5 linked regions of the Macaca mulatta genome follow. The protein of the gene in region 1 purifies or fractionates together with the protein of each later gene. This does not show direct contact. Links are inferred from orthologs where the notes say so. Each region holds a gene or a part of one and is shown on either strand. Other genes may lie near its edges.

Evidence for each region.
Region 2: the proteins of CLGN (region 1) and SLC30A1 purify together in Homo sapiens (co-immunoprecipitation; 3 studies listed by BioGRID and IntAct, with this or other methods). This does not show direct contact. The link is inferred for Macaca mulatta from reciprocal best matches to the Homo sapiens genes CLGN and SLC30A1.
Region 3: the proteins of CLGN (region 1) and SLC12A6 purify together in Homo sapiens (affinity purification with mass spectrometry; 3 studies listed by BioGRID and IntAct, with this or other methods). This does not show direct contact. The link is inferred for Macaca mulatta from reciprocal best matches to the Homo sapiens genes CLGN and SLC12A6.
Region 4: the proteins of CLGN (region 1) and TCTN2 purify together in Homo sapiens (affinity purification with mass spectrometry; 3 studies listed by BioGRID and IntAct, with this or other methods). This does not show direct contact. The link is inferred for Macaca mulatta from reciprocal best matches to the Homo sapiens genes CLGN and TCTN2.
Region 5: the proteins of CLGN (region 1) and SLC12A2 purify together in Homo sapiens (co-immunoprecipitation; 3 studies listed by BioGRID and IntAct, with this or other methods). This does not show direct contact. The link is inferred for Macaca mulatta from reciprocal best matches to the Homo sapiens genes CLGN and SLC12A2.

Annotation. Positions count from the first base shown.
Region 1 is NC_133410.1:149,272,163-149,277,061, forward strand, and holds part of CLGN (calmegin), read right to left. Parts: intron 2,604-4,899; coding exon 2,490-2,603; intron 2,373-2,489; coding exon 2,222-2,372; intron 436-2,221; coding exon 220-435; intron 1-219. UniProt on the Homo sapiens protein: Functions during spermatogenesis as a chaperone for a range of client proteins that are important for sperm adhesion onto the egg zona pellucida and for subsequent penetration of the zona pellucida.
Region 2 is NC_133406.1:69,311,150-69,315,056, forward strand, and holds part of SLC30A1 (proton-coupled zinc antiporter SLC30A1), read right to left. Parts: intron 3,271-3,907; coding exon 2,369-3,270; 3' UTR 1-2,368. UniProt on the Homo sapiens protein: Zinc ion:proton antiporter that could function at the plasma membrane mediating zinc efflux from cells against its electrochemical gradient protecting them from intracellular zinc accumulation and toxicity.
Region 3 is NC_133412.1:11,448,383-11,453,281, forward strand, and holds part of SLC12A6 (solute carrier family 12 member 6), read right to left. Parts: coding exon 4,893-4,899; intron 4,236-4,892; coding exon 3,994-4,235; intron 1,318-3,993; coding exon 1,103-1,317; intron 1-1,102.
Region 4 is NC_133416.1:131,117,987-131,122,885, reverse strand, and holds part of TCTN2 (tectonic-2), read right to left. Parts: intron 3,304-4,899; coding exon 3,238-3,303; intron 1,722-3,237; coding exon 1,587-1,721; intron 1,325-1,586; coding exon 1,247-1,324; intron 1-1,246.
Region 5 is NC_133411.1:137,044,465-137,049,917, reverse strand, and holds the start of SLC12A2 (solute carrier family 12 member 2), read right to left. Parts: upstream 3,758-5,453; 5' UTR 3,592-3,757; coding exon 2,842-3,591; intron 1-2,841. UniProt on the Homo sapiens protein: Cation-chloride cotransporter which mediates the electroneutral transport of chloride, potassium and/or sodium ions across the membrane. Plays a vital role in the regulation of ionic balance and cell volume.

The sequences.
Region 1 (4,899 bases):
ATGAGGACTTACATATGCATATGTAGTTCATAATGAAGTAACATAAAAAGCAAAATATTTTGTCTGCATAAACTTATTCAAACACATTTCCTTGGCATTTAGTAATTATTGCACATTTATTTGCCTTTAAAAGAGCCATTTGAATAACCTACAACCAAGACCAAATCTTATTATCATTATTCATAGTTATATCACTACTGTTATTGGTCAACACCATACCTCATTAGCATTTGCTATCATTATTTTCCATCTCCAACCATCTGCAGCCCAGTGATCTGCTACTTCCTTTTCCGAACAGATAATAAAATTATCAAAGTAGATATCAGAGGTCATAGACCAAAGCTCTAAACCAAGAGCACTAAAAGAAGTCAGAAGAAATGGATGATCATCTTCGAAATAATCTGGATTAGGAATTTTTCGAGGACTCCAGATTCCCTGGAAGAAAAAGTAATTGAAGACATTTTCAAATAAAATAACTTCATTATAAATGCTGCTTAATAAATAGCTGCTGTTGAATGAAATTCACAATGCTAACTGGAAAAAAGAAAACTTTAACTGATATTAATTCATTAGTAACATACTGGAAATAAAATATTGTTTCTTTTTGCTGTGTACCCGATGTTTCCTATGAGGGATAATGATTTTAAATTCTGCAAAAAAAGGAAAAGGGAAAATCCAACATAAACAGAAACGTGAATAAATTTCACAATTTGTCTATTTTAGACAAATTTTTAGATTTAGTAAAATTCATTGCAAAATGTTACTCAAGTTGTCCAAATCAGAAAGATTATTGTATAGCAAAAATGGAGTTACTCCATTTAACATATACCCATGACAGATATCATTAATCAGGTATGGTTGACTCTCAGCACAACTACTCAACATAAAACTTCCATTAGATCTTAAATGATTAAACTGTCAATTAAATCAAATACATTCAACAACATTATTGCTCATTGAGTCACTCCGCCATCACATGTATGTATTCTGGACCAGGCACTATGCCAGATGATGGAGACATACATGGTTCTTGTATTAGGGAGTTTAAAGTAGAATAAAAGAGACAGACATTAAACAATATTTACCAAAAGAAATATTTTGTGTTAAATGCTTTTAATAAAAACTACAGTGAGTAATTAGAATATGAAACTGTATATATATAATGTTAGAACGTGTCCATAAATAATTACAAAGATAAAACTAGAGGGTTAAGTGGATAACATAAAAACTTTTAATATAAAAAGCTAGGTACACTCAAAAGATGTCTGATTGATATCAGAATAAAATCAGGGCCGGGCTCGGTGGCTTACTTCTCTAACCCCAGCACTTTGGGAGGCCGAGGTGGGCAGATCACGAGGTCAGGAGTTCGAGACCAGCCTGGCCGACATGGTGAAATCCTGTCTCCACTAAAAATACAAAAATTAGCCAGGTGTGCTGGGGCGCACCTGTAATCTCAGCTACTTGGGAGGCTGAAGCAGGAGAATCACTTGAGCCCAGGAGGCAGAGGTTGCAGTGAGCCAAGATCGCACCAGGGTTTTTTGTTTTCTTCTTTTTCTTTTCTTTTTTTTTTTTTTTTTTCTGAGTCTTGCTCTGTTGCCAGGCTGGACTGCAGTGGCGCGATCTCAGCTCACTGCAATCTCCACCTCCAGGGTTCAAGAGATTCCCCTGCCTCAGCCTCGCGAGTAGCTGGGACTACAGGTGTGCACCACCACGCCCGGCTAATTTTTTGTATTTTTAGTGGAGACGGGGTTTCATCATATTGGCCAGGGTGGTCTCCATCTCCTGACCTCATGATCTGCCCGCCTCAGACTCCCAAAGTGCTGGGATTACAGGCGTGAGCCACCGTGCCCGGCCAAAAATCAGAATTTTAATAATACTAAAGAATAAGTACATTAATTAAGCACAGGCATTAATTACTAAAATGTACAATGTGTGTCTATTTGATCAGAATTTACTTCTTATATTTACTTCTAAAATAGAAGTTTATTTCAAAGTGAACATCAACTGATAATTCAGGAAGAATATAGTATGAAGTGATTTATTTCCCCAGAAAATTAAATAACTGATGCTCTACTTTTAAAATATAAATTAGTTGGGGTCTATTTTCTCTGACATCTTAAAAATGAAACTTCCAAAAGTTAACATAGATAATTAGATATTTAAACAGAAAAGATCACAACCTTTTTAACTTCACTAAAGAATTGGAACAAGCGGTTGTTACCTGGTAGTTAGGATTATCGACCAGTGGAGGTCTCCATACTCCTTTGTATTTTGGGTTATCTATCATGGGAGGTTTCCACTCACCACACCCAATCCGACATGCTGGATTAAGAATCTGAGGTGCCTCCCATTCTCCATCCATGTCTTCATTCCTTAGGATATTAAAGCAAATATAGTAACCTCAAGTCTCAGATCAGTCATATAAACTAGTAACAAAAATGCACGTAAGAAACATTTAAAATCGACATTTAAAGATGAAAAGTAATTACCAGTCATCAGGTTTTTCAGCATTAGGATCAGGGATAAATTTTGGTTCATCATCAAGCCAGCCAGCAGGTTTAACAGCACTTGAATCTTCTATTTGGGCAGGTTCACTTTCATCCCTGTAAATACAATGTTTTATATTAATTACTAATTATTCAAAAAGTTTAAAAATGCATATGTTACAACACTCAGAAGGTACCACATAAAATTATTTCCCTCCCTTTTGTTTGTGCCTGTGATTTGTCCTCATCTACCACCCACCTAAATCTTCTGCTAACTTGCCAATTTTTGGTACATATTCCCCATTGTGCTCTATGCATACATGTACACATGTATACATTCTTTTTTAATACAAATGATAGCATTCTATACATAATATATTAGACCTTGCTTTTGTTACTTAAAAACTCATTCATCAAATATATATTGCATGCTTACTATGTGTTAAGACTGTTCTAGGAGCTCCATTATTATTATTGTTTTTTCGCTTGAGATGGAGTCTCACTCTTGTTGCCCAGGCTGGATTGCAATAGTGCGACCTTGGCTCACTGCAACCTCTGCCTTCTGGGTTCAAGCAATTTTCCTGCCTTAGCCTCCAGAGTAGCTGGGATTACAGGCACTTGCCACCACGCCCAGCTAAGTTTTTGTATTTTTAGTAGAGAGAGCCACCATGCTCATGCCTGGCTGGACCATATATATATACACACATATATATATATGTGTATATATATATCTGGCTTCATTCTTAACAGCTGCATAGTTTTCTACTTGAGGATATACCATAATTTATTTAGCTTATCTCATCTTGGAGGACATTTAGTGTTTCCAAAATTTTACTATTATTAATACCAACAATGCTACAGTGAATGTCCTAGAATATATGCCATTTCTTACCTGTGAAAATATAATTGTTAAGATTATGGACATTTTAAATTTTGATAGTAGCATCCAAATTACTTTCTATAATGGTTACACTCCATTTCCAGTTCTACCAGCAGCATGCAAAAGTACTTATTTTCTCCTGTCTTTGTGAAGAGTGTTACCAAACTTCTTGATTTTTGCCCATGTGATAGGTGAAAATTGGTATCTCACTGAACTTTGAATGTACATTTAGTAGCATAAGTGATACATAAAAACTATTTTTTCTTAGCTCATCACCTTTATATTAAGAAATTAGCTCTCTGTCAGCTATATGATTGAAAATAATTTTTCCTGGTTCTTGTGTGTTTTTTGAAATAGTTTACGGAGGGTTGTTTTTTTTTTTTTTTTTTTTTGCAATATACAAATCACTTATTTTCATGTAGTTGAACTTATTTTTAAAGGATTCTTGGATTTTATATTTGGAAAGTTCTTCCCTATTCAATATAATTTTTTAAACCCCGCTTATTTAATTCTAGTATTTTCATTTTAAAAACAACACTTAGGCTGGTGTGGTGGCTCACACCTGTAGTCCCAGCACTTTGGGAGGCTGAGGTGGGCGGATCACGAGATCAGGAGTTTGAGACCAGCCTGACTAACATGGTGAAACCCCATCTCTACTAAAAATACAAAAATTAGCCGGGCATGGTGGTGCACGCCTGTAATCCCAGCTACTCAAGAGGCTGAGGCAGGAGAATTGCTTGAACCCAGAGGCAGAGGCTGTAGTGAACCGAGATCGCATCATTGCACTCCAGCCTGGGTGACAGAGCGAGACTCCGTCTCAAACAAAAACAAAAACAAAACACTTAGTAAATTCTAAAGTATGTAAACATAAAGTACTGAACTACTAATATAATTTTCATCATTACAGAAAGATAGACATTTTAAACAAGAGGCCACTTCATGATTTTCCAAATGAATTACAAAATAAACAGAAAAAATGAACTCTACAAATGTACAGATTTGTGTTTGCCTGATATCAATGTCATCTTGAGTCTCTGAGTGCTCAGAGCAACCAAAAGTTAAAACTTAATGGAGCATTTCTTTTAGTACTTTGTAAAACAAATTCTAACACATTTCAACAATCAGAATGAGGCAGTTATATGTGGTTTCTCTCATTTAAGGGCAAACGTACTTTTTTTTTTTTGAGACACAGTCTCGCTCTGTCGCCAGGCTGGAGTGCAGTGGCACGACCTTGGCTCATTGCAGCTTCTGCCTTCCAGGTTCAAGCAATTCTCCTGCCTCAGCCTCCCAAGTAGCTGGGATTACAGGCACCCGCCACCATGCCCAGCTAATTTTTGTGCTTTTAGTAGAGACGGGGTTTTGCCATGTTGGCCAAGCTGGTTTCGAACTCCTGACCTCAGGTGATCTGCCCACCTCGGTCTCTCACATACGTACAATAAAGATCAAACTAGGACTGAAAATTAAAGCATTGGTATTTTGGATTTATGCAATTTTTTTATCCACAGCAATGAAAACATAAAAAATAAACATATA
Region 2 (3,907 bases), on another chromosome or scaffold:
ATTTTGAGAAAGACACTTAAATCCTACAATATTTAAATACAAAAGCATGTCTTTTTTTTTTTTTAAAGATAATGCTAATATAGCTAAAATGGGTTAGAAAGTGCATTATAAAGAAATAAATAATTCTCCGCTAAAACTCAGAAGGTTGAGTCAGTGCCCACTGTTTTTGCTGACAGTCATTTGAAAAAAGAAAATCCTATGGTACCACCGTTATATATAAGCTACTTAAAAATTATGAAAAGTGAAATAACTAAAACCTAAAGGCTGTTATCTTCAAAGCACTTTTGAAAAACAAACATAGCCCTTGTCTCATGCTTATATACCATTTTTTAAAATCCTCATTCAGTTGATGTCTTACACTTAGGCGTTATACCATCTTTAAGACACAGACCTCGAGTAGAGCATTTGTAAAAGAAAACCTCATTGAATGTAATATATTTTATCAGTTATCTTTGTATCATTGCTGAAATGTTTATATAACAAATTGATATCTGAATAAAATGTTCTGTAAAATATTAAATCAGGAATGTACATGATACAATACAATTCACAGCTTTCTCTTCTCGTTCGCCCAGATGAGATCCCTCAATTTCACGTTTAAAAAAAAACCTCCCAAGCCTTTTCGCAAAATTCATGGTAACTATCAGTTTAGGAATTGAATTACACAATATCAGATAAGAATATTAAAAGATCAAGATGTATTGCAAACTGGCAGGTTATGGTTTTGGCCCATTATAGTAAATGTGAACTTACAAACTGTGTTCCTAAAATTACCATATTTTCATTGGAAAAAATCAGCTGTTCTTAAATAGGCCCATTGCCAGCAATAGGCTTATACTAGGAAAAACACACACCACAAAAGATCATCCCTTTAAAAAGTTAACTGTCAAATCCTAACACTTTTCCCTCTTACAACCCATTAAACAATGAACTATTTTAAATCCCAAAACATAGCCATCCCAAAAGTAGTCAGCTATAAAAGTTAAGTAGTCAGAATACCTTGTTTCTAGAAAAATAGAGCTATACATAACTGATACTAATATTCATCCTTTCAAGGACAAAAATCTAATTTTGTCACAAAGTATACCCTCTATCAAGAAAAATATAACTTAAACACCCTTAAATAATATTTGTGTTGGATTTGAAATCTATAGCAATAATGAAATAGCCACAAACAATTTTCTGTGTAGATATTGTGGCATCTTGCAAAATAAGCCACTATTGGAAGATCTGAGTATGTGAAGACAGGATGACTTACAAAATCTTAATTAATTTTGCTTTAATTATTAATTTTGCTCTCTAAGAATTTAATATCCAAACTGCATTAACCTTCCGGTTTTCTTTTCTCTCAATTCAGTGGCTCTTAGAAAGCACAAGCATTGCTGGTTGTGCTCAAAAAGCTCCATTTAAATCCATTCATGATTGGTTATCACGAGATGACTTTGAAAATTTCTTTTCAAACACCCGGTTTAAAAGATTACATTAATAGTTTGCATTTAGCATGTAATTATTAGGTGTCAACATCCTTAAAAATACTTATATATTTTGTGAGTAAACTTGCAGCTCAATGTTTTTATACCAATCTTTCAAAGAAAGTAATGCTGGTGAACATGTCCAAGTTTCAGATTAACTTTGGTAGAATAAAAAGTTGAAATTCTCAAAATAATTTAGAAATGTAGTCTCAATATTATCATACAATAACCTAAATATTTAGTTTGGTAAACTTTCTTCCCTGCTCTTACTACCCTGTTTGCCCTATTGTGTGTAAACTGTAGTTCAATTTGTTAATTATCTTACTGTTTAATAGTCAGCAATACAGAATACAGGATAGTAACTGATCTTATTTCCTACTAATAGCCATGAGTCACTCTTAAAATATGCTGCCATTATGCTATGTAATGATCTCAAAGGGCAATATTACCTAAAATGTCAAAGGAAACAAACTGTTGATGATTTTAAAGTTCTATCAGTTATAATTCTAAGAAAGTGTAACACTGGGGGAAAAGAAAAGCAGAGAAATTCCAGTAACAATTTTATTTATCCCCCTAATTTTTATCATGGGAAAAATCCAGAAATCAAATGTCATTATGTTATATAAGGTTTAACTTACTTTAAACAAAAATGTAACATAGTGTTAAAACTGGCTTTCCAAAACAGTCACAGCATAGCTGTACTCTGTACTAATAATCACAAAGTTGTAATATAGAACTCTGTTATGCAGTCCCATTATGTTCTTACAAAAATAGAATTAAACTGTGTGACCAGACAAGGACTTCAATTATACTACTTGGCAAACTTAGAATTTCAATGGAGTCTTTTTCCTCTTGCAGTTTAAAGCAAAAGTCAAATATCACCTCTTTTTCAAGACTCACAAAGATGATTCAGGTTGTTTGTTTGGCATATTTTTAATCTCTATCACAACAGCAGGGATGTTTTCGGCTTTAGTCCTCCTGGGTTTCTTCTCTAGATTGTTACTAAGTTCTAAACAAGAAATGCTAACTGTTGGGGTCTTTTCTGCATCCTTTCCAGAATGGGCTTGTGGTAGTGTCCCACAACATTGCTTCAAAGCACACTGAGTTCTGCAGGCAAGTTCACACGGGACTACACTTGATTTAGAGCCTACACTAGCAAATTCAGGCTGAATGGTAGTAGCATGAATTCCGTGATTATGAAAAACGTCTTTAATGGTTTTAGCCACCTCCATGTATGATGTTGGATCTTCACATTTTATGTGAGCAGTGGCAATGATTCTGCTTCCAGCAAGCTGCCAAACATGTAATTCATGAACTTCCTCAACTCCTTCAACATTTCGAAGTTCTTTTATCAAATTTCTGATATCAATTTGTTTAGGAACAGTTTGTAGAAGAATCAGAGCAGATTCCTTAAGTAATGGATAGGTTGTGTAAAGAAGTATACAAACCATTACAACACAAAGAGTTGGATCTAAATATAGCACCCAGCAAGGACCAGCCTCATAAACTGATGCATGAGTACTATTAATTATTTCTACAAATGCTTTGCAGGGGTCAGGGAAACACGGGTTCACACAAAAATCCCCTTCAGAACAACCTTTCCAAGAAAAGTAAAAGACTAAAGCATTTACTACTACAATCACTGAACCCAAGGCATCTCCAAGGACATGCAGAAAAACTCCACGCATGTTAAGTTGTCCAGCCCTATCTTCTTCCAGTTCCACATGGTCAGGCTCTCTGATAAGATTTCCATTCACTTGTACTTCCACTGTATCACCACTTCTGGGTTTTTCTGGGTCTACAAAGAAATAAAAATTTTATAGCAAATACATTTAAAGTGTTTATATAAACATCCTCGTCTAATTCTTTTTAAGTGGTGATGAAGGTGAAAATTTTTTCACAAAGTACAATTAAAAAAATATGCCCAGAGCAATTTAATATAAATTGACATTCTGGGAACCAGCCAGGACATAATGGCCAGGGCTAAATTAAGTAATTGTGATACGGATTCTTCACCCTCCTAACCACTCTCCTGCCTCCTCCTCTCCAAAAGAGTATCTTTTCTATGGGGGTGGAGTCTTGCAAACATTCTGCTATACTTTATGGCCTATACAAAGGAAAACATAAAATTGAGTGCTAACACCAAAATTAAATGCAGCTAGGAATAAGTCTACTAATACAAAATACCTGATTTGACACTTGGGCACTCTCTAGTCACTCTTTGTCACTGAGGCCAATTGCTTGAGAATAAAACCAATTTTAACTTTTAAACTTTTATTATGAATACAAAAGTTTCTTGGTAGAGGGGGTTTAAAAACTGACAAATCAACAATATAAATCAATAATCACAGAGATTATTAGAAAAATTGAAACTAAATGACTACCTCCCCTACTTTTAAATAAAAAGTATTGATCTTTTCAAGAAATTACACACC
Region 3 (4,899 bases), on another chromosome or scaffold:
CCGAGTAGCTGGGACTACAGGCGCCCGCCACCACGTCCCGCTAATTTTTTTTATTTTTAGTAGAGACGGGGTTTCACGACGTTAGCCAGGATGGTCTCTATCTCCGGACCTCGTGATCCGCCCACGTCAGCCTCCCAAAGTGCTGGGATTACAGGTGTCAGCCACCTTGCCCAGCCTCTTTTTTTTTTTTTTTTTGAGACAGTCTTGCTCTGTCACCAGGCTGGAGTGCAGTGGCACAATCTCGGCTCACTGCAACCTCCATCTCCCCAGTTCAAGAGATTCTCCTGCCTCAGCCTCCAGAGTAGCAGTAGCTGGGACTACAGGTGCACGCCATCATACCCAGCTAATTTTTGTATTTTTGGTGGAGACTGGGTTTCACCATGTTGGCCAGGATGGTCTTGATCTCTTGACCTCGCAATCCACCCGCCTTGGCCTCCCAAAGTGCTGGGATTACAGGCGTGAGCCACCGCGCCCAGTCAAACATAGTGTTCTTTCTTATCTAATTTAAATATAATTTGACAAAATGATTTGGTATATACAAATACAGTTTAACTTTACTAATGCAAATTAGTAAAAGTTAAACAGACTAAAACTAAATGCCCCACAAATCCCATTATTATTTATTAGTCATCAACACTGTTTCTAACACCTTAATGTAAACTTACTTATGTGCAAAGAAATTTATAGACCAAACATTTATAATAGAAGCCACTTAAGGAATGTTTCAGGAATTTAGCTAAGTTAGGAAGATACATGTGGATGTGGACATTAAAATAGTTCTATTCTGTCAGTGCAGGAAGAACACTGGCAATTTTACAAGAATGCACAGAATAATTTATCCTAAGATTAGAAAGTGATTTGCTCAACTCTGCTCTGAAATGGAGGTGAATTTTAGCAGACATCACTCTGTAAAGGAGTCCTGAATAAGGACAGCTTTACTAATGGAAAAGCAGAAATATGCTGAATTAAGAGCTGTGTGGTATGCTTAAGGAAATTAGCACCATGGCAGTGAATCTTTATGGACAGCAGAAGAATCTAAGATGACAAGGCCTATTTTCCCCAGAAAATAGGAAAAAACTTGTCCAATAACTCCCTAACTTACCTGTAATGATACCACTAGCCAATCCAGGAATGCCCTGGATTGAAGTGACATTATTGTGAACAAAGTATTCATCACAGGTGACATTGAAAAATTGACTCGAGTTACAGAAGAATCCCCATAACTTTGATGGGACTGTCATGTTGTTACTTTCCTTGGTTTTAGAGCAAACGTCAATGTGTCTTGATGAAAGGGTGCGGTTACCCAGCATGCAGACCCTAAGTGAAAAGAAATAGGGAGAAAGATCAAGTAAGGGAAAAAAACACATTACAAAAGAAAAAAAGGAAACAGGTTAGTAAAGGAAACAAGAACCCCATCTTTAAGAGCTTCTACTGTCATGGGTGGGAAGGGAACTAATGTTTATTTATTTATAATTTATTTTAGCACTGTGAATGGCGACTTACATTTTCTGCCAATTTAATCCTTACAGCAACCTCACAATGTATTAGAATTTCTATGTTGTGGATGGAAGCACTGAAGTTTAGGAAGTTAGGGAGTTAATTGAAGGTTAGGGAAATACAGTTATCTGTCCAAGGTCATAGGTGGTAGGTGGCAGTGAAGGAACTCAAATTGAAGAACTGTCTGAAGACATTATGCTGACTCATCTTCCAAAATTTTTGGCTAAAATTGTTAGGTCTAAAAGAATACTGAAGTTCTTTTGTTGTTCTTATAAAGAAAAAAGCACTCCTCTTTTTTTGGCCTAGAAAAGCCTTACATTCTTAACAAACCCCTTGAAAATGTTATGCTAAAGGTTGAATCTTCTGGCTACTGTTGCAAGGAAAACAGCTTGGCCAGAATTAAAAGGCAGATCCCTCTATGGCCTAAGAGAAAACTGTTTTTGAACTTAAGCCTAGACCCAGTGGGAGTGAGGGTAAGGATAACACAAATATTAACCTGCTGGTTTTATTTTTTTCTTTAACCCAGAGACACAAATATAAACAAAGGAATAATACATCCATAGTTAAAATACCTCTCAGGTCCAACAAAGGGACTTTTAAAATCTGTAAAATGATTGAATACATTATTATGAACCATGTACCTATTACTCAGCTTCAACAACTCTCAACATTTCTCAGTCTTGTTTCATGTATTCTAGATTTTTTGTCTTGTTTTGCTGGAATATCTCAAAGAAAATACCATGCATTATGACCGTGTACTAATCAAAAAAGAGGAGAAGTCCCAAAGGTGAACCTGAGACAAAATGGAATTTCCCAAATTGAGATATAACCAGAATGTCAGCTTTAGAAATTGTATGACCCTAGAAAGGACCTTCAGCTATATTACAGTCCCTAGATAAGCAGATTAAAAGTTTAAGATGGAATCTTCTTCTGCCATCATGTAGCGTGGCACAGAAGAAATACTGAATGGGGAGTCAGGAAATCACAGTTCATCTTCTTGCTCTGCCATTAATTAACTTTGAGGTAAGTCATTAAACCTATTGGAACTGTCTTTTTGTCTTGAAAAATCTTTTTTTCTGTAATCTGTTTAAATCAACATAGAACCAATGAGTTTGATCCTCAGATAATCCAGATGACTCTTCAAGATAATTCTGTAACAAAACTACAAATAACACTCAGTGCCAGCTAGTCCCTATGCCACTAGTCAAAGGGAAAAGGGAGCCTGTGAGTCACAGATCTGCACAAATCCATTACTACTTCAAAAAACATACTTTAAAGTACTTGCACTAGGGAGTTGAAGGAGGAGGTAAATGGTGAGAGAGTACTTAATGGGTACAAAGTACATTATTTGGGTAATGGATAAAAGCCCTGACCTAGGCTGGGCGCAGTGGCTCACGCCTGTAATCCCAGCACTCTGGGAGGCCGAGGTGGGCGGATCACTTGAGATCAGGAGTTCAGGACCAGCCTGGCCAACATGGTGAAACCTCACCTCTACCGAAAATTCAAAAATTAGCTGGACACGGTGGTGTGTGCTTGTAGTCCTAGCTACTCGGGAGGCTGAGACTGGAGAATCACTTGAACCCAGGAGGCAGAGGTTGTGTGAGCCAAGATTGCACCACTGCACTCCAGCCTGGGTGACAGAGCAAGACTGTCTCACAAAAAAAAAAAAAAAAAAAAAAAAAAAGAACTGGGTGTGGTGGCACATGCCTGTAATTCCAGCTAATTGGGAAGCTGAGGCAGGAGAATTGCTTGAACCCAGGAGGCTGAGGTTGCAATGAGCCAAGATTATGCCACTGCACTCCAGCCTGGGCAACAAAGTGAGATTCCAACTCTTAATAAAAGCCCTGAATTCACCAATACACAACATGTGCATGTAACAAAATTACACCTGTACCCCCATAAGTTTATACAAATTAAAAAAAATAAAATCAAGGTTGAAAAAAGTAGCTGTATTATAGTATGTAATATTACATATATAGAGAGATGCATGCAAATTGTACAGTATTTCCCTTTATGACTAGTCCATTACAATACTGACAGAAAAAAAAATTTAATTAATTAAACATTTTAGGTAAGATTTTAGGTTTCTTTTGACTCCCCTGATTTTTCATTAGTAAAAGAAATCCAACATTTAAATACCTTATAAAGGCTGCTGGCAATAACTACACTGTCTGCAAAGCCCTTTATGAATAGTTCAAAATATGTATAATTAAAAAAAGATTATGTACAATTATCAGGGAGAAAAAAATCTAATATCTGAACATAAATTATGGTTACAGTTACTAGTTCTATGTTTGGGACATAAGAAAGAGGATGAACAGGACATAGTTTGCTGGGAGGCTTCCTGCCTAGATGGGGAAGGAACTCTAAATGGGCTTATCCAAGAGGGAAAATCTCGGAGAGACTCCATGAAATTCTGACTTAAAATTATCACACCACCAGATATTTTCAATTACTACCCAACAAAGATGGCTAGGCAGAGAGACAGACACGTACGGGAAGTGTGGAGGGGCAAAAGAAGACTTGATGGCTCCAGCATAGATGGCCAAGATGGACACAATGACACAGGCCAGGAAAAGTGAGGCAAACTTGTTCACATAGCGTACGCCGATAAATACCACTAATACCATAAGGACCAAGAAAGCTGTGCCATAGACACGCATGTTATTTAGCATGGCTGCTGATTCCTTGAGTGCATCATCACTGCGAAAGATGGCAGCCCGGGGGACGATATAGACCTGTTAGGTAAAATAAAGGAGAAAATTATGTTATTTAGAAAGAATTAAGTAAAAAGGCTGTATTCGTTTGCATTTACTTTCATAAAAGAAAGCAAAGCTGAGAGACAAAATGACTGGGGAGTTAGCCTAGTTTCTAATAGGATCTGAAATGCCTGCAGAAATGGGATGTCAAGGATTTTTTTTTTTTTTTTTTTTTTTGTCTACATGCTGTTCTGAATAACTACATTTCCAAACGGAGAGAAAGGAATTATTACTTTTATTCATAGGGTTATATAAAGTAATTATGATTATCTTTAACCCTGATTCTACTATCACTACTTTAAATAAACAATATGTCTCAGTGAATAGAGAAATGAGAAGCATTTTATTTCACAGGGATGAAGATATTAAAAAAGATAAACTTTATTTTACTTTTTCCCCACTGGACTTGAACCTCCTGGATGAGGTGGCAGAGTGGTGGCAATCAGGTAGAAATCAGGAACGCAGGCAAAGGGAATTGCAACCTTTCCACCTCATGTTCACGTAAGAGGCCAACTGAGGTTAGCAGTCAATCACCTGATTTATTCCCACAGCTGATCTCAGAAGCTTTCATAGCAAAGAATAAACCAAAATCAATATTTCTTCTATAGTATAGACCACAGTGAAGTCATTACTTACCAGAAAG
Region 4 (4,899 bases), on another chromosome or scaffold:
CCAGTCACGGATCACTTGCTGAATGACAATACTGCTTATCACGGGGGCTCATAAAAGACATGTAAACCAAAGTAATCTTTCTTTCTTTTTTTTTTTTTTTTTGAGACAGTGTATCACTCTGTTGCCCAGGCTGGCGTTCAGTGGTGTGATCTCAGCTCACTGCAAACTCCACCTCCCAGGTTCAAGCTATTCTCCTGCCTCAGCCTCCCAAGTAGGTGGGATTACAGGCGCCCACCACCATGCCCAGCTAATTTTTTTGCATTTTTAGTAGAGATGGAGTTTCACCATGTTGGCCAGGCTAGTTTCCAACTCCTGACCTCAAGTGATCCACCTGCTTCAGCCTCCCAAAGTGCTTAGACTACAGGTATGAGCCACTGCACCAGGCCATAACCTTTCAATAGAACCTTTTTCTAGTAAATCCATTCAACCCCAAGGTCTGTTGTTAGAACATATTTCCATCCATCTCGTATTAATCCAACTTACTGCTTCCAATATTTTACTATGAAAATGTTCACATGTACAGAAAAGTTGAAAGTAATACCATGAACACCAATACAGCCACACCAAAATCAACAGCTGTTAACATTTAGCCATATTTGTCTTAACTGTATCATACAGGTGTTGAGCATTTCTTATCCGAAATGCTTGAGACCAGAAGTGTTTGGGATTTTTTCAGATTTTGGAATGCTTGTGTATACATAATAAGTGTATCTTGGCTGGACGCAGTGGCTCAAGCCTGTAATCTCTGCACTTTGGGAGGCCGAGATGGGCAGATCACTTGAGGTCAGGAGTTCAAGACCAGCCTGGCCAACACGGTGAAATCCTGTCTCTACTAAAAATATAAAAATTATATTAAAGTGAGCAACCCTGCAAGCCTCCCTTTGGAGAAGTAGCAGATGAATAAACCTTCCTGTGTTGTGTGATTTTAAAAAAAAATTTGCCAGGCATGGTGGTGTGTACCTGTAATCCCAGCTACTCAGGAGGCCGAGGCAAGAAAATCTCTTGAACCCAGGAGGTGGAGATTGCAGTGAGCCGAGATTGTGCCACTGCACTTCAACCTGGACAACAGAGCAAGACTCTGTCTCCAAAAAAAAAAAAAAAAGAGAGAGAGAGAGAGAATAAAGAAAAAGGAAGGTCAGAGTCAGAAACTAAAATTGGAGAGAGTTACTTATAACCATCCTGATGGCTGGGAGTGTTGAACTAAAGTACGTTTGTAAGATCAGTGACTGGTATACACTCATCTTACCTGGATTTCCAGATAATTCTTCTTCATTACCACTATTATAGCTTAAAAATTTTACTACAAATCTCTGTGTCATTATCCCTAGAAATAAAACAAAATAAAAATATAATGTGCACCATTTCACTAGGAAAAGAAATTATTTTCCATAGTGCTTTATCTTAAAATTGCATTTTGACATTCAAAGTATACTCTCGTTGATTAAATCATAAAGAAACAAGAAACAAGTCTTGCACATAAGAAACAAGTCTAACTTAATTTTATGGGTTATAATTATGAGAATCTTGAAGAGAGAAAAAAAAATACTTTTCAGTGAAAGCATGTTTGCTACCCTCATTAAAGTTACCTTTCTGGTGGGCATTAATCTCTGCCCTAATAATTCTGACATTGATATCACTGATGGTATTATTATTCCATTTGAAAATATAATGTTCTTCCACATTCACGATTCTGGGGGCTGATCTGTTATTTAAAGGAGTTTCTGCAAATACAAGAATATGTTCATAAATTAAAGACCGTCTTTGAGCCTGACTCTATTACTGGGACGTTCTCTCTGCTTGCGTGGCCTTTCCCGAATGCCCTGCCCCGCCCCTGCCCTTCCTATCTCCAGCTCCCTAACATGGCATGGTCACTGCTTCCTTGAGGAAGCCTGCCCTGGTCCCATCAAGTCACCATTAGCTGCCTCCCCTATGCCGTCATGGTACCCAGAATGAGATCTGTTCCTTTCATTTCTATATCCCCAGCACCTGGCTCATAGCTTGCCATGGAGCACACACTTGGTAAAATGTTTGTGAGATGAAAGACCAGAGGGTCAGTTCCGCCAGGGCAGGGGCCCGCTGTCTAGTTCTCTATTACAGCGTAGGAACTCCACTAACATTTGATGAGCTAATGAATAAATTTGAGAAGTACAACACATCAGAAAGAGACACCCAGCACTTGGGGAGGCCGAGGCGGGTGGATCACCTGAGGTCAGGAGTTTGAGACCAGCCTGGCCAACGTGGTGAAACCCGATCTCTACTAAAAATACAAAAATTAGGCCACGCACGGTGGCTCACGCCTGTAATCACAGCACTTTGGGAGGCCGAAGCAAGCAGATCACGAGGTCAGGAGTTCAAGACCAGCCTGGCCAACAGAGTGAAACCTCCTCTCTACTAAAAATACAAAAAATTAGCCATGCATGGTGGCAGGTGCCTGTAATCCCAGCTACTCAGGAGGCTAAGGCATGAGAATCACTTGAACCCGGGAGGCAGAGGTTACAGTGAGCTGAGATCACCCTACTGCACTGGGCGACAGAACAAGACTCTGTCTCAAATTAAAAAAAAAAAAAGAAAAGAAAGAAAGAAATAGTATCCTTCATTAAAAATTAAAGTTCTGGTAAAATTAGCCAAACTGGGCCAGGCACGGTGGCTCACGCCTGTAATCCCTGCACTTTGGGAGACCAAGGCAGGTGGATCACTTGAGGTCAGGAGTTTGAAACCAGCCTGGCCAACATGGTGAAACCCCGTCTCTACTAAAATACAAAAATTAGCCGGGCATATGGTGGCAGGCACCTGTAATCCCAGCTACTTGGGAGGCTAAGGCAGGAGAATTGCTTGAACCCAGAAGGTGGAGGTTGCAGTGAGCCAAGATCGCGCCATCGCACTCCAGCCTGGGCGAAAAGAACGAAACTCCGTCTCAAAAAAAAACAAACAACAAAAAAAAAGAATTCTTTAACTATCAAACATTTAAGGAAAGTTTCATGGAAGCTGGAACTAGAAGGGACGGTGGAACTCAGAGAATCCAGGACCGTGGAGGAGCAGGCTTACCGTCACAGAGAGCACTCTAAAGCCCAGCAAGACAGAACGAGGAACAAATGAAATGCGCCTGGCAGATTTTTCTAACGATTGTGAACCTTTTTAAATGACTAACAAAAATACATACTCTGGGGGTATATGTTACTTGTAAGAAATGACATATCTATTTCTGAAGAAATGACGTCAAAGTGTAACATTAAATACCTCTATTGGTGATGAATTTGTCTAGGTCAGTTGCTTCCTCATAGATTACTTTTGGTGTAACTGTGCCTAAAGAGAGAACATAAAATAACTTCCACAGGCGTACACATGGCCTATCATGATCACACTAAGTCAAAGTATAGTTGATCAAGCAAATATGGTGACCACAACTGCCCAGAGTGGTGACTACAAAACTCTCCCCACTCCCCAAAAACCATCAGATAGGAGTCCCCGTCCTCTTAGTGTCTAATTATAACTGAGGAGGAAAATCCACAACAAACAAACAAACAAACAAAAACCAGGGTCACTGACATAAAAACAAATATGCAGTTCACTGCTGGTGGCAATACAAAATGGTGCAGACACTGTAGAAAACAATTGGCCGGGTACGGTGGCTCACGCCTGTAATCCCAGCACTTTGGGAGGCCGAGGCGGGTAGATTGCCTGAGGTCAGGAGTTCGAGACCAGTCTGGCCAACATGGTGAAACCTCGTCACTATTAAAAATACAAAAAAATTAGCCAGGTGTGGTGGCACACACCTGTAATCTCAGCTACTTGGGAGGCTAAGGCAGGGGAATCGCTTGAACCAGGGAGGTAGAGGTTGCAGTGAGCCGAGATCATGCCACTGCACTCCAGCCTGGGTGACAGAGCGAGACACTGTCTCAAAAAACAAAAATAAAAACAAAAAACACAATTTGGTGGATCCTCAAGAAGTCATACTAGCATGACCTGTCAGTTCCACTCCTAGGTGTCTACCCAAAAGAAATAAAAAGATACATCTACGCAAAAACTTGGCCATGAGTGTTCATGGCAGCGCTATTCACAACAGTCAAGAGATGAAAACAACCCATATGTCCATCAGCTGATGAATGGACAATGGACAAATACAATGTGCTCTGTCCATGCGACAGACTACGATTCAGCCATAGAGGAATGAAGCGCTGCCATGCGCTACAACACAGATGAACCATGGAACACCATGCTAAGTGAAAGAGGCCAGAGACAAAAGGCCACACAGTGTATGCTTCTGTTTCTGGGGAACACCCAGAATAAGCAATCCATGGAGACAGGAAGCAGACTGGTGGCTGCCAGGGGCTGAGGGAGGAGGGGTAGGGAGTGACTGCGAATGGGGACAGATGCCCTTCTGAGGGGATGAAATGTTCTGGAACTAGAGAGAGGTGATGGTGGCACAACAGTGTAGAAGGTACTAACGTCAATGAATTGTACACTTTAAAATGGTTAATTTTGGCAGAACGCAGACGCTCACACCTGTAATCTCAGCACTTTGGGAGGCCGAGGCAGGCGGATCACCTGAGGTCAGGAGTTCAAGGCCAGCCTAGCCAACATGGTGAAACCCCATCTCTACTAAAAACAAAAAAATTAGCTGGGCGTGGTGGCGTGCACCTGTAGACCCTGCTACTTGGGAAGCTGAGGCAGGAGAATCGCTTGAACTTAGGAGGCAGAGGGTGCAGTGAGCTGAGATCGCGCCACTGCACTCCAACCTGCGCAATGGAGCGAGACTCCGTTTCAAAACAAACAAACAAAAAGGTTAATTTTATGTTATTTGAATTGTACTTCAATTTCAAAATAATTAATATGCAATATGCTGTCTTATGGAACTAAACTTTGTCCAAAGAAAATAATTGGCAGTTAAAATATTATTTG
Region 5 (5,453 bases), on another chromosome or scaffold:
ATCAACTTACCCTTCAGGTCTCAGCTTCAATGTCATACTTCTCAAAAAAAAAAACGCCTTCCCAAAACCCAATTAAAATTAGGTCCTATTACATCTTTACAAGTATCCTTTTCTTTCATAATACTTAAAAAACAGTTATTAACTATATTATTTGTCCAACTATTTTGTTAATGTCTGTCTAGGCAGAAGCAGTAACTGGTTTGCTAATCACCGTGTAATCCCACAGTGTCACAACCATGTTGTCAACATCTAAGATACCACCTTCCCCAATAACTATTTAATAAATGGAGAACTCATACCTACTGGTCCTAGAATGGCTATACAATATAGCAAGATGTGCCAAGGATATTTATCTATTCCCCTACAGTTGGACATCTAGATAAAATACTTTTAAAGTCAGTGATGGATAATGAAAGGAATTCAACTGGAGGAAAGACAATCCAGTCCTTTTCCCTAACAAGTTTCTGAAGTCTTTTACTTTCTTTTGTTCTTCTACAGTTCCCAACACAGAGTTAGTCCCATGGTAGATAATTACGCACTTAGTAGACCAAAGTAGAGTATATGTCAATCAATCGACTGCTAGAATTAGGTGTTATAAAAATTCTAAATATTATAATTCACTGAAGGCTAGAAGCATTAGAGGTGTTAGAGAGGTGGAAGTCAATTTAGACAGAGTAAGGGACAACTTCTGGGAATCCAGCCAACCTGTTATCACCCCTACTGTCTGCCCGTCTTTCGACAGTGGTGTATAGTCATAATTGTACTACTTAACACCCATTTCTTTAATCCATCTGCTAAAATTCTAACCAAAATTATCTTCAACATGTAGTTATTAGTTAAGCCAAGAAAACAGTGGCCATAAAGATTATGAGTGGCAGAAGGTAAAAAACTATAAAGAATTAAACTACCTGTTGCATAAATGAAACTGAACATAACATTTTATATACTATATTCATCTAATAACATAAGAATTAAGAGAATCTAAAATTGAGATCCTAGAGTCTTCTGAAGGGCCAATATAAGAGGGAAATAACAACTAGCTATTATTTTCCAGGCACTGAACATGGTCACTTTTATTGCACTTTTTTTCTAATCTTCATAATAACCCTGAAAAGCTGAAGCTGAGAGGTTGGGTGATTTCTTCAACTGCCGTACAACAAACAATACAGGTGTTGTTTTTTAGACACTTTGAACCAAAAAGCCAAGCGAAAAACACAAAGACACACAAATCTAAAGCTTTGGAGAACTTTAAGTGCTTTGTTACTGAGATCATTTAATACAAAATACCAAAAACTCCCATAGGAAGCATATATGCTCAAGATACATACCTTTCAACTGGATGTCTTTCTAAAACTTATGGGTAAATACAGATCACTTTACTGCTCACCTACTTAGCTTTGGTAAAATAAATCTAAAATATATCTGTATAATATTTTCATTAGTAAATACGTCCTAAGAAAAGGAAAATTGCTAGCTTCATATCTACTTTTGTCTACAATGATTTTTGGGTTTTGAAAAGAAAAAATAGACTTGATAGAAACTACAGAAGTATGAATAAAAAATGTTTTAGACATTGTTTTGCTTCTGATTATGATAAAATACCACAATGGAACAATAATATTATCTAAAGCCAAATGATCTCAGGCTTTTAAACAATCAATAAGCTGTAAGAGTTGGGGCCTCTGTAATTACCTCTGTGTGAATGTTACATTATCAAACACTGGGACAAGTACAGTCTTGTATGAAATCACTGTATGAGATCAAATAATCATATCCAAAAGAAATCACATACTGGATTTAAACTTTTCCACACTATGATCATTTCAACCTATGTGGTACTATCCTCTGGCGTTTACAAAATTCCATCAATGTAGTCATTACACACTTGTAAAGGAAGACTTCAAGTAATTCCGGCTCATAAAAAAGTTAAACATTAATGAAATTTCAAAAGCATAAATGTTATCTCAAAACAATTATATTGAACACTGAAGAAATAACAGTCTTATGTGACCATAAAAAAACAGAATTACAAAAATCAATGAGTTTATGGGGATGGTTTTCTGTTTACAAAGTGTAACTGCTTATTGTAAAGACCCCAGAGGTCTTCCAGGTCATCTTCTACAGAAAAACCAATTCTCCCGTTTCCCTTTTTTCTTTAAAGACTCGCCCCTCTCCCTAATTTTTTAAATATACACCTCTCCCAAAACGTTTTCATTGCAAAAAAAAAAAAAAAAAAGAGTTATGCCATTATCAGGAACAGAGTGTCCCAAGATTTAAGATTTCTATGATCCTTTGCATATTCAAGATTGCAAGAATTAAGCTTTAATAACTCATAGACCACAAACACACCCTGTTAAGATTTTCCTTCCAACACCAACATTCCCACTGTTGGGATCCCTAATAGGCGTACATAAGCCACACAACACAATCTTTTAAAACGACACAGATGGTAGGTGCTCTCCAACCTCTTCCGAGAGAGGTCCTCACCTAAACCTCCTGCACCTTCTCTTCTCAAGGGCCCACAAACACAACTGTCATTCAGAGGGGTGGTGACTGTTAAGCGTGGGTGGGAAACAAAGTGCACACGAGATACCTAACTGGATGGGGAAGGTTGTTAAAAGCAGCCCTCCAGTATCACTTAACTAGCCAAACCCGCTACAAACTTTTTAAGAGATTAAGTTACATTCCTCTGCAATTCCACCCTTGACAGCTGAATCCAGAGATGCCAGCAAGTCGTGCATGTCTACTCCTGCCACCTCAACTCGGGAAGAGTCTGCAGCCACATCCCGCGGTCGGCATGCACCAGGGGCTGGGGAAGAAGGGAGGGCCGGGCGAGCTCACCTTTTCCAGCTCGTCATGGAGCTCCGCCAGGCTAGGCCGGAGCAGCTTCTCGCCCAGCTGCGCGGCTGTGTGCCGGTAGTGATCGATCCTGGGCACAGCGTCCATGGTGTTGTGGCCGAAGGTGCGCAGGTAGTAGGTGTTGGTGTGGGTATCATAATAGTAGTGCTGGTGGTGCCCACTGCCGCCGCCGCCGGAGTGCAGGCTGCTGCCCTCGCTCAGCACCGTGTCCCCGCCGTTCTGGAAGCTCACGTTGGGCCCGTCGCCACCGACCCCGGCAGCATCCGACAGGCTGTCTTCAGCCGACGAGGAGGCAGCCGGGTCCACGAAGTTCACGCGGAAGCGGCCCTTGGCTTCCTCGCTGCCTTTAGCCGGCCCGCTCTCGCCGCCGCCTTCCCCGTCCGCAGGGGTCTGCTTGGCCCCCGCCCCAGCACCAGCCGCCGCCGCTGCCGCCGCCGCCGCCGCAGCAGCAGCGGCCCGCCCGGCGTTCTCGGAAACCAAGTCCACCTGGAAACGGCTCTGGCTCGGGGTGGGCCCCAAGGGTCTGCCCAGCCCGTCCCCGGCCGCCGCAGCGCCCTCCCCGCGGACCCCGCCGCCGTCCCGACTCGCGGGCGCAGCATCCTCCGGCACCGAGGGCACAGCCGTGCCGGGCAGTTCCACCCTGGCGGCGGCCAGCGCAGCGGCTGGCGGCGTCTCCCCGACCCCGGCCAGTCCCGGGGCGCCGGAGGAGGGCGCCGTGGGCACCGGCTCCATCGCTGCCCGACCCCCGGCGGAACTGCAGAGCCCGGCGGACGTCTCCGGCAGCACGCCCTCCGCACCCCTGGCCGGCGGTGGCCACGGCCGCAAGACCAGGTGAGGAAGTCTTTCTCCCCGCCGCCCGCTGGCCGCCTCTAGCTGGGACGGCACAGACGCCACTGGCAGCCAAGCGAGCGCGCGAGTGTGGCGGGCGCGGGGCGGGCCCCGCTGTTTAAAGCCTCGGCGGGGCTGTGGCTGCTGCGGCTCCGGCAGCAGCACGCGGGAGGCGGGGCCGGAGGCTCCTCCGCCTCTCAGCCCGCCCACCCACGGTCCCGCAGCGGCGCGCGGCTGACGCTCACTCAGCGATCCGGCCCTCCGCTGCTCCTGCGCGACCCCACGCGAAAGCGGCCGGTGCCAGGATCGCGGCCAGCCAGCCCGCGCCGGGCCTCGGGCAGTGCGGGCAGCACGAACGGCGCGATCTGGGAGCAGGCGCGGCCGCCCTCCGCCTCGGTGATGTCGCCGGGAGGATCTCCACGCCGCTACCTCCTCTTCCGTCGCCCTCCTCCCACGCCTTCACCTCCCTCCCCCGCCGCGCTCTGCGGCGAAAAGGAGCGGGCTCCCAGGCCGCCTCCCCTCTCTCCACCCGGGGGCCGCGCGTCAGTGAACCGGCAGCCCAGGCAACGGGGCTGCGAACGGCGCGCTGGCCCTGCCTTGCCTCACGCCGGTAGCTGATGCTCCCGCGGAAGCTGCCACCCCAGCGCCCCAGCCACGACTTCAGAGGCTCTCGCCCGCTGGCTTTTTTTTTTTTTTTTCCTCCTCTTTGATGAACTCGCAGTACTTGGGCTGAGCCGGAAATCTCGCGAGATGCTGCAGGCGTCAGTGCCGCTTCCCACTAGGCGCGTGGTACCCGAGGCCGGGCTGGAGCCGCAGGCTCGCAGCTATTCCTGCGGGCGATGCTGGGGGCTTTCCGGTCGGGGCCGCAGCCGCTTCCGGAGCCGCGGGCGAGGTGCGTTCCCCAGCCGGGTTTGCTCTGGGCTCTGGCACGCCGCCGGGAATCTCCGCTCGTAACTCCGGGCCTGAACCCAGGGGTGGGAGGATTTCCTCTGTGCCGCTTTCGAGCAGTAGACTTACCCTGCTCGGCAGACCTAGGTTAGCATAACCAGAGATTGATTCCAGTTGTGATGCAGTGGGTGTCTCCACACTTCTGATGACACCTTTATTTTAAAACCTGATGTTCCAAGGTGAGAAGGCAGCCTCGTTGAGACGTCATGTTGTTTCAAGATGAGTTTTAATTTAAGGCATTTCCAGAAGTGATATGAAGCTCATCTCTCAGAATACAATGCCGGCAATAACTACCCGTGAAGTCCTTACCAGGAGGTTTCTGCGTGATTTGGGTTGTGCAAAATGCCTCTGTTTATATAGAAACAGAAAGGTACTCCTCTGCAGGTCTAGTTTCTCTTCGGTAAAATGTAAGGGAATATAACTGTTTTCCTACTTTCTCAGCAGCAGAAATTTTTAAACCTAGTTTATGCCCAAAGCCCTAAGTAAAATCAATCAATGGCGTCCTCCAGTCACTTGGTTTTTATTTATGTACTTTATTTGTTTGTTTGGTTTTTTGTTGTTGTTTTTCTTTTTCTTTTTTTTTTTTTTTTGAGATGGAGTCTCCCTCTGTTCCCCAGGCTGGAGTGCAGTGGCGCGATCTCGGTTCACTGCAAGCTCCGCCTCCCGGGTTCACGCCATTCTCCTGCCTCAGCCTCCTGAGTAGCTGGGACTACAGGCGCCCGCCACCGCGCCCGGCTAATTTTTTGTATTTTTAGTAGAGACGGGTTTCACCGTGTTAACCAGGATGGTCTAGTCTCCTGACTTCGTGATCCGCCCGC